2 linked regions of the Rattus norvegicus genome follow. The protein of the gene in region 2 interacts with the protein of the main gene of each other region in a pairwise test. Links are inferred from orthologs where the notes say so. Each region holds a gene or a part of one and is shown on either strand. Other genes may lie near its edges.

What was found.
Region 1: the proteins of Prkaca (region 2) and Prkar2a interact in a protein complementation assay, tested with the Homo sapiens proteins (2 studies listed by BioGRID). The link is inferred for Rattus norvegicus from reciprocal best matches to the Homo sapiens genes PRKACA and PRKAR2A.

What each region holds. Positions count from the first base shown.
Region 1 is NC_086026.1:118,323,608-118,327,107, reverse strand, and holds part of Prkar2a (cAMP-dependent protein kinase type II-alpha regulatory subunit), read right to left. Parts: intron 3,003-3,500; coding exon 2,901-3,002; intron 2,753-2,900; coding exon 2,678-2,752; intron 1-2,677. UniProt on the Homo sapiens protein: Regulatory subunit of the cAMP-dependent protein kinases involved in cAMP signaling in cells. Type II regulatory chains mediate membrane association by binding to anchoring proteins, including the MAP2 kinase.
Region 2 is NC_086037.1:41,059,343-41,062,766, forward strand, and holds the end of Prkaca (cAMP-dependent protein kinase catalytic subunit alpha), read right to left. Parts: intron 2,139-3,424; coding exon 1,974-2,138; intron 1,664-1,973; coding exon 1,538-1,663; 3' UTR 501-1,537; downstream 1-500.

The DNA of each region.
Region 1 (3,500 bases), on a different chromosome or scaffold from region 2:
TAATAATAAGTTATACAGCTGTGTGGGAGGGTGGCAAGTGCTACAGGACAAGAACAGGACAGGGACCACAGGCTCTCAACTGGCGGTAGATGGACAGGCTACTGTGGACAACACAGCTTTAGGGAAAGGCGAAATCTGAGCAAAAGCTGGAAGGAAGAGAGACTCAGGCAAGCAGACAGGAGACAAAGCTTTCGGCTTGTTCCACTTTCTCACCCTCACAGTTAGCTCTGGGTCAAACCACGGAGAACAACGGCAGTCACATGCTACTGGTTGGTGCTTTGTTCTGAGACAGGTCTGCCTACGTGGTTCTGGCTGGCCTGGCATGCATTGTCTCCAGGTTAGCCTCACTTTCATCAGCACCCCTTCCTCTGCCTCCCAAGTGCACTCCCACATGCCCAGCTTGGTGTGGACTTTGTCTTCAGTAAGAGTCCGCCCTGCCAAGCGTCAGTCTTTTGCTTGACCCACCACTTCAAACCCCAAACAGAGAGACACCATTTGAGGCTGATTCGCTTGAGTGAATCACCAGTTCCAGCATGGAATGACGGCTCATGGCTATAACCACAGCACGCAGCCAGCTAAAGCAGAAACACTGCTGTGAGTCTGAAGCTAGCCTAGGCTATGCAGTTAGATCCTGTCAAAAACCCGAAAGACTTTTGTGTCACAGTGTGAATGCAAAATGTCTCCCAAAGGTCCATGTATTTGACCTCTTGTCCCCATCTGGAGACACTTTCCTGGGAAGTTACTGAACCTTTGGAACACGGGGCCTCACTCTGTCACTAAGAGAGACATTCCCCTGTTTTTCATTCACTCTCTTTCTGATTACCACGGCCTGACTTGTTCCTGCCTCCATGATGAGCTGGTATCCCCTGAAACTGTGGGCAGAATAACTTGAGATGAAAGATAGAAGCCCCCTAGGGATGGCCAGCATACACCCGCAGCCTCACTGGCCAGCATGCTATGCAGACAGCATGTCATGCACTGGAGTGCAATGTTTAATGTGCAGAATGGCTTATGCAATGCTTTAAGCAGAACAAATGAGGGCTTTTTCTATACAGTTCATTGCCTTAATAAATTTATAATATAAATGTGAGCAGATTTTTTTACTTCATAAAGTAAACACGGACATTTCATCATATTTGTACTCTGCATATTCAAGGAAGAAATTAAGTTTTGTATAAACCTGTAAAAAACAAGCACTTGCAGTTTCCTTTCCAGAGTAACACGGATTAGTTACCTCTATTCTACACTCTCACTTTGCACATGTGCATCATCACACATCACAGTGGGCCTTACTGAGTCTTGTTTACCCCAGTCTTCACCTAGCAAGCAGAGCCATTCAGAGCTGGAACTGGGATGAACAGGGTACTTCTGTCAGTGCTGTAGTGGGCTCTCCTCTCCCTTCACTGTAAGTCTGACTAGTTCTCAAGGCTTGGGTGGGGCCAGCTCTATGAATGGGACTCAAGCACATAGGCCTGGGATCCACCCTGACCTGAAACCATCCTCTTCACCACAGCTGGGTGAACAAGGCCCTATACACTGTCCACCTGGACTCAGCCAGACTCCTTCCCCAGTGGTCTTGTCAGATCCATGGGCAGGTAAGTTTATATCTGGAAAAGTTTCTAAAACTACTTACATGTAATTAAAATACAAACACAGTAGACAGAGGAAATATTTCTAAAAGATATTACATGTAGAACAGGAGAGCCAAAAGTTGTTATGTAGCTGAGAGTGGTCCTGAACTCCCGACCCACTTGCCTCTACCTAAGTGTTGGGATTTTAGGCATACACTGCTATGCCCAGTTTGCAGTCTTCTTTAAGTATAATGGTCCAGTTTACTGTGTGGGATCTAACATTATTAAAAATAACATGAGAAAGACACAAAGGGTCTCTATATCAAGGAGTCACTGGATGCTGAGGATTCCCGTGTCAGCACAGGGCTAAGGGAGCGTAAGCCCCAGCTGTCTAGTACAGACTAATAAAGTTTACTCAGGGTCAAAAGAAAATTAGATCCACTAGAACAAACGGCAGAAGCCCACCCCTAAATGAATGCAGTCCGAGCCTAGCAGCACATGGTGCAATCGCAGAGACTTCGAAGGCTTCCATGTTTAGGACGACTTGATCACGCTGTCTCGAAACAAACAAAAAGGACCAAGGACCCAGCTCAGTGGCAGAAGCCTTTGCTCAGCATGTGAGTTCAGTCCCTGGTACTTCAACTAACGTCTCAGGGAGATGGGCCTCAGTGAACAGCATTCAGAGGTCTCTATAGAAGGGACAACATGAGCTTCCAGTGATTTTTTTTCTTCTTTTTTTCTTTCCTTCCTTCCTTTTTTTTCCTTTTTTGAGACAGGATCTCTAAACAGCTCTGGGTGATCTGGAACTTGGTATGTAGAGCAGGATGGCCTCAAACTCAGAGCCCCACCCCCACCCCCATTCTTTTTTTTTTTTTTTCTGTTTTATTTTTTAAGACAGGGTAGACCAGGTTGGCCTTAAACTCAGAGACTGGCCTGCCTCTGCCTCCTGAGTGCTTGGTTAATGGCATGTGCCACCACCACCCAGCTTACTTCTCCTAAATGCTGGCATGACAGATGTGCGTTACCATACTCAGTCCGCAAGCAGGTCACACTGTTCATTGTGATGGGGACTTCCAGAAAAGGAGCTGTGTGAGCCCCCAACTCACCTGAGTGATTATTCGCTCTCCATCCTTATAGATCTTTTCCCCGATCACATCCACAATCTTCATTCGTTCTGACATCTAAGTAACGGATATAGTTACAGTATGAGGATAAAACCTTGATTGACTGTCACTGTTACAACTAGATCAGAACAGTATTATTTGAAGACCTAAGAGCAGTTTTAACAGCTTTTCATGAACCACATACACAGACTCTCGTAAGCCTTACCTCTAGTGATTTAAAGAGCGGTACAGACTCAATAAACGATTCGAACATCTTCCTCTTCTTTGCATTGTTCTTCACTATGATTCTCCTAAAAGTCACCCGGTCCTACAGGAAAACACAGGGCAAGTCTACTATATGTCTGTGAAGAGAACATCTATGGTTTAAGTAGCTGAACCACTGCTAGAGAGCTGGAAGTCCCTAATCAACAGGGTTTAATGATGCTGGAAGAAAAACCCCTCAGACTTGAGCTAGGCACAAGTCTCCAAACTGTAGTGTGCTGCTGTGCTCAATGAGTGCCGCCGTGGGGCGTAAATAGATCACAAAACAAAACTCCCATTAAATACCCGGGTGCTCATAGGTATTAGACAGTACCAAAAGATACCTCCAGAAAAGGCAAATAATGCCCATCAAGAGTCTGTGACTATAAAGAAAAGACAACACAAGATACACAGGACCCATAGCCTTAATCAACACTTAGTAGCTGAGACAGGAAAACCATACATCCAAGATTGCTCTAGGCTACAAGAGAATTCTTGGCCTGCCTGAATAACCATCTCTAACAGAAACAAAAAGAGAACAAAGTATAAAGTAGAGAAGGATTTT
Region 2 (3,424 bases):
CATTGGGCGCGGGACCCAGACGTCCTCGGCGCCCAGCCCCCTCTCCACGCCTCTCCGCGCGCAGCGCTCTCGGGACCGCACTTACCGGGAACTAGCCGCGTCGCGGCCCGACGCGCCTCGCTCCTGGGAGCCGCGGAGACCTCACTAGCGGCCCTGCCTCGCCTACACGAGGACTCCGGGGGGTCGCGCGGGGCTTCCCCTTTCTCCTTCGACTCTGCTAATCCTATTTGGCCGAACCGGTCCCGGCGGCCCTCTCGGTCCGGGACTAGACTGAAGTAGGGGTGGGAGCAGATTTGAGGGCCCCGAACTCAGGGTCAAAGGACAGTTTGCCCACCCCACCCCTCCTTTTTCTGGTGTGGCGGAGGAAGTACAGGAATTCCAGCTAAACCCGGTTTCTCCAAGGTCCGGAGGCCGGGGTCTCCAGAGGATGGACACTGAGGTCCGAAATTCCCTTTCCAACACCCTGAGGGTGTGATCGAAGTCGGGAATACCAGGGACACTTTTATTTTAAAACAAAACTTTATTGGTAATAGTTTTCAAATATGTTTACAACAGCACACTGTTCAAGAGGAAGTCTCATCCTTCGAAGCACACAGGTTGAACGGCCCCTCTCGCCCACCCGGGGCCCCCACCCAGGCCTGAGAGCTCCTCCTTTTTGGGAGAAGTTACGAGAGGGATAAACACAGGGATAAACGGGGTCATATCCCCAGCAGCTCCCCACCTTTCTATTGAGAGAAAAAGCACAATCAGAGTGCTTTTGGGGGTGCAGTGAGTGGGGACACACGGCAAGAGGTGATGGACAGCTGACAGCTAAGCTAGAAGTGAGCGCCCAGGATGGGGAGGGGCTTCTTAGGGGGGCTGGTGCACAGAACAATTGGCATGAGACCACTGGAAAGGGGGGCCGGGAGGCTAGCAGCTCAGGGCGAGGTTCCAAGCCCAGTTCCTTCCTTGACAGAGTCAGTTGGCTACCCGGGTCTCATCAGAATGGATTTAGGGAGTGGGGGTGGGGTTGAGAGGGGTGGGACAATTTGGAGGGTGGGAGGCACTGGTGGAACTTAATTTAAATGAGGAAAAAAAAAAAAAACCCCACTGGCAAGCAGCCCTCTGTACAGGTCATAAAATCTCCCTTTCCAGGTAGGGCTGCATGGAAGGGAAGGTTGGCTTTACTGTTCATCCTTAGTATCCAGTGCTGGGGTAGGGGTGGAGGCTGAATTTGGGCCCCTCTTTCCCTACTCGCCCCTGGATACACCAGCAAGATTGAGTATGACTGGAGCTAAGAAATTCATTGAAAACAGGCAGGGAAGGGTGGAGGTGAAGGGAGAGGGGGAGCAGCTGATGTTGCCCCTTCCCCAGTATCTGACTTTCCTGCTCTCCTTAACCCTGGGGGTGTGGAGTGGATGTTAAATTAGATGCATGGAACTCTAGGGCCCTCTGGCTGTTCGATCCAACCCCCCCACCCCCAACCAGAAAAAAAAATAGAAAGAAAAAGAAAAAAAAAAAAAAAAGAAAAGAAAACCCATGGGGCACAAGCACACCCCTAAAACTCAGTAAACTCCTTGCCACATTTCTCATTGATGGAGACCCGGATCTCTTCCTCCTCATAGTCGTCAAAGTTACTCGTGTCCCCAGGGCCTTTAAACTTTGGTATGAAGGGAGCTTCCACCTGGATAGGGATTAAGAAGCAGCCAGAGTGCGTTAGCTGACCTTACCATTACAATAAAAATGAATGGCTTAATACTCAGAAGACACTGCTGGGACCCAGGCCTGAGCTCACCATTCAGGTGGAGTGTCTTCTCTGCAACCCAACTCACCAAACGAAGTCACTTCCCAGAGGATATTTCCTGCTTACGGCCACAAAGTGGCCAGAAGAGCCCAGCATCCCCCATATAGTCCTGAACTTGCTGGGCTGTTTGTATTATCCTATCCATAATTCCTTGCCTTTCCAACTTGGGGCATGGGGAAGAGAAGCCCACCTTTCTCTGATAGATGGCGATCCAGTCAGTTGTGGCAAACCACTTGTGGTTCTTGATGTCATTGACCCCGTTCTTGAGATTCCCAAAGCGCTTGGTGAGATCCACCTGCAGAAGGTTCCGAAGCAGGTCCTTCAAGTCAGAGCTGAAGTGGGATGGGAACCGCACCTGGAAGGGGTGTAGATACGAGTGGGGTGCTGTTCATGCACTTTGGGGGTCCAGAATGCTGCCTTTTCCATTTCTGACACAATTCCCACTCCCTCCTGACATACCCCAGATATACACCTCTGTGCAGCCCTGGCTGTCCTGAAACTCTGTAGACCAGGCTGTCTTCAAACCAAGTTCTGGGATTAAATGTGTAGCTCAAACTGACCTTGAACCCATGATCCTGTGTCCTAGCCTGAGTACTAGAGCTATAGGTATGTACCACAGCGCTCTGGCTGACTGGTACCTGTTCTATCCAATAGTCCTACAGGGAGAATCTGTTAAGATGGCTTGTGGGCAGGGCTGGGCAGGGCAGGGCAGGGAAGTAGTGGCCCATGCCTTTAATCCCAGCACTCAGGAGGCCCAGGCAGGTGGATCTCTGTGCCTTTGAAGCCAGTCTGGTTTACAGAGGGAGTTCTAGGACAGTCAGGGCTACACAAACAAACCGGCTTGGGGGGGGGGGGGTTGACAAAACAAACAACAAAACCACTCAAAAACCAACAAAAAGATGGCTTGTTGGAGCGTGCTAGCCTTCACTGATGATCCTAACATTCAGGCAAGGGCAGGTGGATCTCTGTGATGTGAGTTCAAGGCCAGCTTGGTCTGTATGGCAAGATCAGCCAAGAGTACATAATAAAACCTTGCCTCGGGTTGGGGATTTAGCTCAGTGGTAGAGTGCTTGCCTAGCAACTGCAAGGCCCTGGGTTTGGTCCTCAGCTCTGGGGGGGGGGTGGGGGTGGGGGGAGAAGGGAAGACCTTGCCTCAACAAAATCCCAAAAACTCATTGCTGGACCAATGAATGGCTTTGTTCTTGCAAAGGTCCCGGGTTTCATTCCCAGCATCTACATGTTGGCCTCTAACCACTGTTAAGTCCATTTCTAGGGGATCTAATGCCTTTGGCCTCCAGGGGTCCTGTACTCATGTCACGTACATACAGACACACAAAGTTAAAAAACACACAAAGTTACATAGTTAAAAAATAAAGTAGGGTGGGGTTGGGGATTTAGCTCAGTGGTAGAGCGCTTGCCTAGCAAGCGCAAGGCCCTGGGTTCAGTCCCCATCTCCGAAAAACAAAAACAAAAACAAAAACAACAAAAACAAAACAAAACAAAAACTAAAAAAATAAAGTAGGGAAACTATCAGCAGAGATGGCTTGGTGGAGCTAGCACTACAGCTCTGGGCCAGGTCAGGAGCCCAGCATACACAGGCCTCCACTTTTAGGCCCCAGTGGCCATGCAAACAAAAACCAT